Linked DNA regions of Daphnia pulex. The protein of the gene in region 3 purifies or fractionates together with the protein of the main gene of each other region. This does not show direct contact. Links are inferred from orthologs where the notes say so. Each region holds a gene or a part of one and is shown on either strand. Other genes may lie near its edges.

Region 1 (3,831 bases), on a different chromosome or scaffold from region 3:
AGAAGCAAAAAACCCAGTTTTTTTCACTATTCCACAGTTATCTTGATTGGAAATAGGCATTGAACTCATTTCTCTATGGACTGATACAGGCTCTGCTTCAGTGCACTCTGAAGCAGAGTCGGCTGTATTTGGTTCTGGTGCCGTAATACTTTCTTCTTCAATATCCAAGATTCTTTCAGTTTCTACAAATTCATTTTCTTCATCCTCCTGATCAGTACTGTTTTCGTTTAGATCATCGTTTTCATGCAATGCTTCCTGTTCTGCATAGGGTTCTTTTTCCTTGTTGGTTTCAGCACTATTTTTAGTGACAAAAAAGCGATCGATCCTGGAATTATTTTCCAGTTGATCAACAAACTTGCTAGCTGAAACTCCAAGGCAGGTAACAACCACTGGAACTCTAGTGTTGCCTTGTTTGAAACAAGGATTTTCTTTACTAATAACTGCCAAGCAAGCGTTCGCCATGTGCATTTTTTCGTATGAAGAAGTCAGAGGAATTGAACGAGTATAAGAGTACGGTCGTATATCGCCTTCTAATCGAACCGTCAGAGTTAATAGTTTTGCCGTTCTATTATTCTAAAAAAATAAATTTTCAAGGGAAAATATGTTATGCCAACACACGAAAAAGAGGTACAAGAGTGATGGGATTTACCGTTTCCCGGTCTTTCTCGAGTCGCTCAGAAACTTCAGCACATAACTCTTCTAGCCAATGGCTTATTTTCTCCCGAGAATCTAGTGCAGCTAAACCAGTGAAATTTTTATTACAGCCTATGGACTTGGGCAGTCTGCGGGAGCTGACCGACTCATGATCCACTCCTCGGGCGTACCAGTAAAGCCACGTGCTGAAAGACAAAGATTTCAATAAATATGAGAGGCATTTAAAGATGAAAGCGAGAAAACTTACCCCGTCTTACTATCAAAACGTTCCTGCAAGACCCGCTCGGGAATTTTTACGATATCTGCCATAGTAGTACAATGGAACTCTTCTCGTAGAACAAGACCAAGTTTACCACCAAGATTTCTAACTTTCTTTAAAGGGAACGTCGTAAAAAATTCCTCAACGGAACGAAAAGGCAAAACGGTTTGCTTGTTGGGCTTGTTGATGCCTATAGGAAAAAAAAAAGTCATTTTGAAGGCTCATAATAAAAAAAAAGAAAAGAAATAAGAGCATACCACAAGCTAGTTTCGCCAACATTTTATTGTTGGAAATCCCAGCAGAACAACGAAATCCGGTTTTTTCATAAACAGCAGCGCGCATCTTTTCAACCAAAATAGCACCATATGTTAATTTCCAGTCATTATCGTTGCAATTTCCTTCCGATAACGCTTGTAACCACCCGTGTACACCTACGAATTTATAGGAAATATTGTAGTAATAGAACTAGAGCATGTAAAATAATGACCGACCTTTTACATCATCTGTGTCGTTCCCCCATCCAACAAAGTAAGTGTTTGGAAGCTCTTCAAGATCGATCGCAGTGGCTATATTAGTAAAAGTAGGACATTGACAAAGTGAATGACGAATTTCATCAAGCTGAATTTTACTTTCAACCAACCTGTGGAATCTGAAAGCATTTTATCTATAACCGCGGTCATGTCTATGTATGCTTCATCAATACTGGCGCGCTCTACGACGACACCAAAGCTGCACATCACATCAATGACTTCTTTTCCTCCATCCCTGTACCTAGAATTGCAAATTATGAAAATTATATATATCTTTTTTGATAAATTTAGAAAAATACTTTTACCTTGTGAGATCAGCTTTTCCTCGCTGTTCAGGTACTCTGTAAAGAATGCAATCTGGACATTTTTCCCTGGCTTCATCTCCTCTCATCTGCTTAGTTACTCCTTGCGCTCTAGCTTCATAATTTACAGAAATAATACCACCCCCTTTCCATTTTTTATACTGCACCACACAGGCAGGTTTTCCTTTGTTGCCAGGATTTTCTCTCTCTTCCACTTGAACATAAAAACAGTCCATGTCAATCAAGGCTACAACTCGTTTTTCATCTTCAGCACTCATCTTTTAAGTTTTTTTGATGCACAAAAGTTCAAGTATTGTATCATATCCTCTCTGGTGGAAGGACTCAATGGAAGATCATTGCTTGATGTGGAACACTGACTATCAATTTCATTGTCATCACTTTTTGACAAAACCAAATTAATTTCCTTTGTAAGTATTGGTTCTTGAGACTTCACTTGATCAATACCATCGTTCAATTTTCTTTCCAAACAAGGAACTAGTTCTTCGTCTTCACTGTTATCTGGCGACGTATCAAAAACGACAAATTTTACATCTGGATCTCCTGCCAGGTATTTTGAGCTGTTTGGAGCAAAATGATACCCTTCGGACCACGTTTTCCCAGTTGTTTTAGACATTGACTTTTTAAACTTAATAAGTTGTCACATTTAATATTAGTTTAGCATGTATATCTTCCCGAGCAGATTTTTTAATCGGTAAACAACCTACATCCACAATTCCACATTGACACATTCCTCTCGAGTTGTCTGCTTGTTAGTTCCCGCCAAAACTTAAACCCGCCATACTTCAACCTGGTGCTTAAGCTACCTCTGAAGTTCTCATACATAATAAAAATTTGTTTAAAAAATGTTGTTAATCGTTTACATTATTAAAAAAAAGAAATTCGAATATAATCAATCACCAAATACTCAATTTACACGGATAATCTGTATGACTGTATGTACTCGAGTCAATTTTGTTATTGAATTTTTTTTTTATTTACTTTCATTACAAATCATGACATTTGGAAGATTTCATACAGCGAATTAATATTGTGTTAGTCACTATCAAAGTATCGTTCTTCGGCATCTCTTTCATATATGACATCGTCTTTGGGATGTGAAGAATCAATTTGGCTGTAGTCGAACTCTTCATCACGCCCACTGAGAAAGCTACTATACATACCTTTAAAAAATGGTAAATATTAATCGAAAAAAAAATAAATAAATATATCGTAAATAATACTTGATATAAATTCATCGCGGAAGAATTTCTTTTCTTCTTGATCTATATCATCATCATCATCCTCTTCTTCTTCCTCTTCGCAAGCTAATGCCTCATCCCAAGCTGATTGATCAGCTCGTTGTTCATTTCTCCTTTTAGAATTCTCAGAATCACCATCTATGTGGGCCATGAAAATTGTTGAAAGATTACATAGCTTTGGTTGTTCCTGTTCTAACAATCTTTTTTCATCTGATGACATATATTTCTCAACAAGCTCATGAAATAATATTGGGTTTCTTTTCCTCATTTCATCCATGCTGAAATATTTCCCTTCTTTTATCATTTCATTCATTGCATGGAAACGCAGGTTTTTAACACTAGTTTGTGTTAATTTATTCTGTTTTTCCAGCTGCTGAAGATGAAATAAAACTTCATAGTTGTTTTCAAATTGATGAAAGTAAGTCAGGTGATTTGGATTCAATATTTTTCCAAACCTGACTAAGAAATTTGAAGGACTTGATTTCAACACTGACGCTGCAATCTTTTTCTTCTCCTCAGCTGTAAGTGCTGGTTCATCACGTTGCTGGCTTCTAAAGAAAATATCTTCCGCTTGGCTATTTGCCACATAAGTGATCATTTGCTCTTTTGCCAAGTTGAGTTCTTCAACATCATTGTCAGTAATGTTGTCACATTCTGATTGATGAGTTTCTGGTAATGTTGAGGTTTCAGTTTGGTTGAATATAGGTAATTGAGTTGTTCCATTAAGATTTGATATCACAGCATCTTGTTTCCTAGAGTCTTCTCTTTTCTCAGATGCTGACTGGATCAATTTAGGTGTTTCATGTTTGCAATCACTAAAATCACTT
Region 2 (3,831 bases), on a different chromosome or scaffold from region 3:
ACCTAATTTTCGTGATTTTTTTATTTATTTTCATGAAGCTTTTTTAATAGGGGAAGCTGCTATTTTCGGCCTTTATAATGCAGACTCATTACGATCTTCACGTGCGCTAAATGAAGCGCAAATGCGTTCGGCTCGACTGCTTTCCCATGCTGCCGTGTGCTGTGTGTTATAGGATACGATATTTTTATGAAGTCCAGACGTCTGCAAGTAATAGAACGGACTTTGATCTCCTCCGTCTTTCCATTTTTGTTAGTAGCCTTTTACAACTAACCGGGAAACGAGAAACAACATTGGACTCCTTCTTTCAATCCCCGTGTGCTGTATATGGCTGTAGAAAGAAAAACATTCTGGACACGATTCGAATAAAGAAAGAGAAAAAACGAGTTGATTATGCAGAAGAAACAGCATTTTTGTGTGTGTCTAATGTCCAGTCTCCTGTCAGCTGCTCTTTTGTTATTTATAGTTGAAAACGTTCTAACGCAGACTCCCATTTTTTTCTCTGTGACAATTACAGACTAACGAACGCTTATCTTTTAATCCTTTAGTGGCATCGCTATCAAATGCCAATTTGGTCACCTTTGAGATATGTACCTGGAGCTAGAAGAAACGCCAACAATTGGATTTAACAAGAAAAATCGGAGGTCCGTTTTTATTGATCGAATGGATGGGATCGTGGGTATAAAAAGCTCAGACAGACAAAACAAAAAATCCAATAAAAGATAATCTAATAAACCAAAGGAGCTGCGAGTCCGGGGTAGGCGTGGAATTGAGGTGCCGCGATGAAGTTGCGGACGACCGGGGCGGTGTAGTAAGGCTGGGCGACGGGCACTGGCACTGGGTAGCTCTTGTAGGTGTACTCGGGCTGTTGGACAGTCACTTCCGGTCGGACATGGGTGTACTCGGTGGGCTGGTAGCTCACTTTGGAGAGGAGAGGTGCACCCAAGCCGAAGCTCATGGCGCTGGCAGCGGCGACGATGGCCAGGAAAACGAAGACCTGAAATTTTAAACATTTGATGAATTTAAATGAATTGGGGTTTTTTTACCTTTTGGGCTATCAAGTTATCCAAATTTTGAGGCTTGATTTTGTTTTTAATACCTTGTACATTTTGATTTTCGGTTGAGGAACGAGCAAAGTGATGCTGGAAGTCGACGGTGGAAGACTGGCTTGATTCAACTGGAGCAGATGGTCCACCTTTTATACCGTGATTTCGCAGCCGATGGATCCGCGTCCTTCCGCAATCCCGCCACCGTTTTTTCACGAAAACGACCCCACCCTGAAAAAACGAGTCTTGTACTAGATTCACCTTGAAATTCGGGAGCCTCCCTTTCTGCTTCTGCACAGTGAAGAAAACATTTACAAGGAAAAGAGCAAATGCAACACAAAAATTGGATCCAACTTTTTTGTTCACTGATTTATTCTGGCGGCAATCACCTTGAATTCCATCGCCAAGCTGAGTAGAATCTCAACCTTGGAAGAAATAAAGAAGAAAAAAAAGGTAATTTTTATTTTTTTTTATTTTTACAACCGACCGCACCTTTTTACCTTAAGGCTTATATACACACGGCCATCCCCTGTGAAATTCTGTGAAATTAATTTTTTTCTTTTGTTTTGTTTTTCATCCAACGAATTTTGTTTTTCTTTATCCTTTCAGTTACTATTTTTATTTATTGATTGGTTTTCATGATAATGATTGAGATCCTGGTTGGGGTTAACTATTGAAGTGTCTGTCTCATAACTCGATGGTAAATTGTAGTATATGTGGCTCCTTTCATCTGCAAACAATATCTCGGGAGTCTCGGGAGGAAAAATACACACATAGTTGTTTTTTAAAGTTTTCTGGCTAGCTCCGTTATAGGTAAATGAGCTAAGCAACTAATAGAAAGGAGAAGATATGGCCATAGCCGCTCCTCCGCTAGTCCTTCTATTGACGTTTTCTCCAAATGAAAACGGGCGTGAAAGTCTCTCTCCTTTTGAATGGAGAGCCCCGAGGCTCCGACAGCAACACGGCACAATATCATCACGAAAGAATGCGCGTATTCATACATGGACAGATATATCCACACACTCTACCCCCGGCTGCGTTGAGATAAAAAGTGCCGAGGATCTTTTCTTCTTCTTCTTCTATAATTTCGCCTCAAAGGCAACAAGTTTTTTTAAAAGGTAAGAAGAAATTCATAATGAACCTGATAATAAATCGTTTTTAGAAATGTTTGTGTTTCTCTCCCGTTGTTGGGCGACTGCTGTATTTTATATGTAGTTATAACATCTTGTTTAATGCGCAGATTTGTATTGTGTGTATTTATTTATATTTTTTTGGGAATTTCTTTTTGGTGTCGTAAAATGATTTTTACTGCTGCAGTTTCAGGAGAGACTGTTTGAGCTGGAGATACCAACTTGTTGGGTTGCTATCACGACCGGAAAACGACATTCGATATGCTGCTCAATAAAACACAATTCCCAAACCACTTCGCCCGTGGACGTGAAGTATTTCACGTTCTCTTAACGACATTTGGCCGCACGACGATATTGCATTTCTTTTATTGCGTGTGTATTATTGTCATTACTTGGGCTAGAGGGAAATTGTGGTGTAATAAGAATTTTTATTTAAAAAAAAAAACAAATTAAACACAAAAACAGGTTTTCTTTCAATGTTACTTGAACGCCATCTTACGGTTCAGGTAGAAAGTTCATTTAAAGAATTTAGCAGACGACTTTGGTTAAGGAACAAAATCAAAATTGAGTAGCTGCTGTGAGGCTGTGAGTGCTGCCTGCTGGACGGGCCGATTCAAAATAAGCAGGAAGAATGGAGTCGAATGGTAGTAACGCTTTTTCTATTTTGTCATGGCTTTTTTTTTGTTAATTGAAATATTTGTATGTACAATAGATGAATTTATGGCTGTACCTGGCACGTCGAATGACACTGTCGTGAACCTCTTTTCTTTCAGACATGGTCATTCAGTGGATTATGATGCTCTGTATGATCTTGTCAATCTAAGAGCTAAACAGCTTCAAAGTTGCACGGCTCCCATATTGGACGTGCAGCACAAATCTCTGATCCCAGAATTGAGAATCTATCAAACAGAAGCCGTTCAATGGATGATACAACAGGAACAACAGAGCTCAGTCAAAGGAGGAATCTTGGCTGATGAAATGGGTCTGGGAAAGACGGTAGAAGTTCTAGCCTTGATGCTGAATCACACGAGAGAGAAACTGCCCAAAATCGAACGCCAGGAACCAGCAATCACTGCCATCACAGAAAACGAAGAGCCAGAAGCCAAGAAGATGAAGCTTTCCGAAGACCATTGTGCAGTATGCTTTCCAAATCGAACCATTGGGCAATCTATTGAAAATGTCATTTGGCGCTTTAGTCCAGACATTGAAAAATCAACCATCCAAGAAGTGATTGATGTTCATTGTGGTGACATACAAAATGAAAATCCCACAGCCACAAAGATACAGCGCTGCACCTGCAGCAATCCTGCAATTCGCAAAAGACTCAATATTCATTACACCAACTCTCTGGCCGAGTACAGCTGCCTGAAAAGTCTCCAGAATCGCTTGAACGTCCCAGCCGAAAAAGACGAAGCCCCCATTCTATGCGTCTGTGGGAAAACAGTAGCTGGATTGTCTCCTTTAGTCCAATGCCCCAAATGTAAGAGGCAGCAGCACAGCAACTGCGTCCACTACGATTTGATGGACCCACTGCGCGGGCCTTACTTTTGTCCTCATTGCTGGAATGAGCAGGAGCCCCTCGAGTCCGGTGCCACGTTAATCATCACCCCGTCCAGCATCAGCAACCAATGGCTGGAAGAGATCCAGCGACACGTCAG
Region 3 (3,600 bases):
AGAACCGCTCACGATTGAAACGGTACAAGTGGCTGTTCCACTGACAGGAGAGGTCCGCATCAAGATCGTCGCTTCCGGGGTTTGCCATACTGACTTGTTTTTTCAAAGAGGGGGAGACGGACCGGATGTATTTCCGTGCATCCTCGGTCACGAAGGAGCTGGCATTGTGGAAAGCGTTGGACCTAACGTTACTTCCGTTGAACCAGGTTATTTCATCTATTTAAATGGAAACGATATAATAAAATTAAAAGAACCATCGATTACAATTAGGCGATCACGTAATCCCGGTTTATACAGCTCAGTGTTACAATTGTGAATTTTGCAAGTCTAGCGAGACCAACATTTGTAATGTTAACGGCACATTCCAAGTAATCCACTAATCCTACAGTTGATAAAACGAAACGAAATTTACATTTCTATTTATATATAGCTTGCTGGATTAATGAATGACGGTACGACTCGCTTTACATGTCGTGGTCATTGGTCATTGATATTAATCCATCTAAAGAAAATATTGGTTTGAATTCATTTATCTAATGCTGGTAAGTATTTTTAAAACTTGGATTGAATAATGATTATTACAGGCAAGAAATTTGGAATCACTGATTTCATCAACCCAGATGACTACAAAATACCTATAGAGGAAGTAATTATGGATATGACAACAGGAGGATTAGACTACGCTTTTGAGTGTTGTGGCATCCCCAGTTGCATGGTAGTACAAATTAAAATTTGTTAGCTAATGACTTTAATAGATTTTTTTGCATTTCAGAAAGCAGCAATGAATGCCTGTAAAGAAGGTTTGAGTGTATTAACTATTGTGGGAGTAGCTGATTTGACAGCAGAAGTCTCGTACAATCCTATACAACTAATCTATGGAAGAACCATTAAAGGGACCTATTTTGGAGGTTTAAAATATTTAAATAAAAATTTTAATACCATGGATCATACAATAAGGCCATCATATGTCAGGGTGGAAGAGCCGTGACCAAATCCCAAAGTTAGTGGATGAATATTTAGCCAAGGAATTGATGGTGGATGAATTTATAAGCCACACCATGCCAATTGAAAACATAAATGAAGCTGTGGAACTAATTGAAAAAGGAGAATGGTAACAAATGCTTAAAAAATTTTTTTAATCAGAAAAAAATATATACCTGCATATGTTTTTTATTTTCAGTTTGAGAAGCATGGTCACTTTCTGAAACAATTGAACGTCGCAACACAGTATTAAAATCTAATTTTCATCTTATTCCATTGATACGAAATATAATTGCATACCGTGGAGAATCCTATCATCTGAAATTATAAATTATAAAAACATATTTTGATTTCAAATTCAAAACAAAAAAAGTTGTACCGGAAATAAAAATGGCAACGTTGCTGTTAACATGAGACTTGAAAAGATTTTGTGATGGCGCGGGCTGTGGCTTTGATCATGTAAAATTGTGAAACAATAGTACAATACTGCATTGAAATGGGAGATTTGTTTAACTCAGATGACATTCCAGTTACTTGGCCGAGAGAGTTGCCTCAGTTAAAAAATATAGATGACCGTCTACACTGTCCAATATGCTACAACTATATGAAAAATCCTGTGATATCAACTGCTTGCTCACACAATTGTAATACCTTTATTAGTTTTATATTTACATATTAATACTAAGGCTTCATGTGTGCTTTTTTTTAAAATTTACAGTTTGTTCGTTATGCATCAGGAAAAACATAAGTCTCAAGAACAGCTGTCCAATATGTTTTGTTGACATTTCTGATGGGTTGCTGCGCCCAAACCGTTGCCTTGAAGAAATCATCAAATGCTTTCAGCCAGTAAAGAATTATGTTTTGAATACTCTAGTGAACACCAGAGATCAACAACAAGAAGGTTTTTCAACAGAAACTTCAAGAGACAGTTTATCTTCTCATTCCTCAGCCATAATTCACAAACAAGCAGAAAGTGAAATATTGCCTGGTCAGAATGTTCATAAAGAGAATATTTCATCATCTTCTTTCACAGCAGCTGATGGAAAAAGTCTGAACAGCTACATTTCTGTCTTTTTGGCATCATCAAGTGTTCCTGTCGTAGATACTCATCAACCTCCAATAGCATCATGCAGCCAACCTGTAAGAGCATCAAGACCTAGTGCTCATCAGAAACCTCCAAGTCAATCTTCTAATGATGTGAAAGAAGTTCTTTGTCCTGTGTGTCATAACTTGATAAGGGAGACTATTATCAACATTCATCTGGATTCATGTTTGAACTCAAACAAACCTGCCAAGAGGAAGCCCATGCCAAAGCTGATATATCATCTAATGAAGGAACAAGAGCTGAAGAAAAGGCTTAGAACATTGGGACTCAGCAATGTTGGTGACAAAGCTACTCTGATCAATCGACACAAGAAGTTTACCATTCTCTACAATTCTGAGTGCGATGCTTTGGAGCCCAGACCGGTCGAAGAACTGATAGAAATACATGTACGAGAAGAAGCCGAAAACCATCGATTGGCTACTGAACTACGTCTTGCTTCCGCTAAAGTGAAAACAAATGATATAGAAAAAATCGAGGAGGAAAATCTTCAGTATTTACGCAGTAACAAAGAGAGTTACGATCGTTTAATCAACGAAATTCGGCAGCGTCCACCTTTGCCGCCACCACCTATTACTCTACCGTTGCCTGAGGAACCTCCAGCTTTCAAAATCAAGAACGAGCCTCCGAAAGTAGAAAATGAAAGCGAAGAAGAAGTGACGGAGATCTATGTCCCACCAAAGGTTTACGAAATGATCTGTTTATCGGACAGTAGTGAAAGTGATGAACCACCTTCGATTAGTTCACGTCCGGTTTCAGCTGCTGGTACGTCTGATAGTGACGTCTCTAGACAATCAACTTCCGATGATTCCATTCCCGATCCATTGGAATCTGGGAGTTCTAAGGATAGCAATTCTTTGTCCGTTGGTGCTCAAACTATCACTTTGTCGACAAGTGATTCAAGTAGCAGCAATTCCACTTCGCCAACGACCTACAGTCCAGTTGAGTCACCTACCGAATTTTTATTTGAAGAAGAATCTAGCAGTAGCTTGAGCGCTATGTTGCCCACCGTACTGAAAATGTCAAAGAAAAGGTCAAAGTCTCCTTCGCTGAACATGTCCGACCGCAAACTGTCATTAAGAAGAAGATTTTGAAGATAGTTGTGGCATTATTGTGTAAATATTTTTTCTAATAATTTCTTTTTGTTTGTGCAAAAATGGTTTGCCCTGCTATTCTTGCATGCCAGTCATTTTGGTTCTAAATTTTATGTTTCCGATCGAGAATAAATTGCTTACAAATTTCAAATGAAAGCGACGAAAAATTGAAAATGTAAAAGAAACTGGCATCCTAATTGTTGAATGATAAATAAAACCCCAGAAATGTCCTGAGTATTCATTCCAGATTTAACTGAGTATCTTATTAAAGTGAAAGTCCTTCAGTCACGGAATGATCCATGCATCTAATTCCCTAATTGAGATGAATCACGTTTTCCATTAATTATGAATTGATTGATCTATGATTACACAAGCAGGATGCCTGCTTAGGAATAGGTACGTGATTTTTAAGTAGGAAAAGAG

What was found.
Region 1: the proteins of E3 ubiquitin-protein ligase RAD18-like (region 3) and DNA polymerase eta-like purify together in Homo sapiens (affinity purification with western blotting; 7 studies listed by BioGRID, with this or other methods). This does not show direct contact. The link is inferred for Daphnia pulex from reciprocal best matches to the Homo sapiens genes RAD18 and POLH.
Region 2: the proteins of E3 ubiquitin-protein ligase RAD18-like (region 3) and E3 ubiquitin-protein ligase SHPRH-like purify together in Homo sapiens (affinity purification with western blotting; 3 studies listed by BioGRID and IntAct, with this or other methods). This does not show direct contact. The link is inferred for Daphnia pulex from reciprocal best matches to the Homo sapiens genes RAD18 and SHPRH.

What each region holds. Positions count from the first base shown.
Region 1 is NC_060027.1:5,025,727-5,029,557, forward strand, and holds the start of DNA polymerase eta-like, read right to left. Parts: upstream 2,520-3,831; 5' UTR 2,024-2,519; coding exon 1,749-2,023; intron 1,685-1,748; coding exon 1,554-1,684; intron 1,480-1,553; coding exon 1,405-1,479; intron 1,345-1,404; coding exon 1,171-1,344; intron 1,104-1,170; coding exon 902-1,103; intron 840-901; coding exon 650-839; intron 574-649; coding exon 1-573. Other genes in the region: coiled-coil domain-containing protein 97-like, read right to left, coding at 2,799-2,926, 2,987-3,831. UniProt on the Homo sapiens protein: DNA polymerase specifically involved in the DNA repair by translesion synthesis (TLS). Due to low processivity on both damaged and normal DNA, cooperates with the heterotetrameric (REV3L, REV7, POLD2 and POLD3) POLZ complex for complete bypass of DNA lesions.
Region 2 is NC_060028.1:1,213,827-1,217,657, reverse strand, and holds the start of E3 ubiquitin-protein ligase SHPRH-like, read left to right. Parts: upstream 1-1,384; 5' UTR 1,385-2,161; intron 2,162-2,360; 5' UTR 2,361-2,545; intron 2,546-2,638; 5' UTR 2,639-2,804; coding exon 2,805-2,817; intron 2,818-2,885; coding exon 2,886-3,831. UniProt on the Homo sapiens protein: E3 ubiquitin-protein ligase involved in DNA repair.
Region 3 is NC_060025.1:2,017,028-2,020,627, reverse strand, and holds E3 ubiquitin-protein ligase RAD18-like, read left to right. Parts: upstream 1-1,477; coding exon 1,478-1,625; intron 1,626-1,699; coding exon 1,700-3,177; 3' UTR 3,178-3,412; downstream 3,413-3,600. Other genes in the region: alcohol dehydrogenase class-3-like, read left to right, coding at 469-517, 585-715, 773-908, 973-1,111, 1,181-1,205. UniProt on the Homo sapiens protein: E3 ubiquitin-protein ligase involved in postreplication repair of UV-damaged DNA. Postreplication repair functions in gap-filling of a daughter strand on replication of damaged DNA.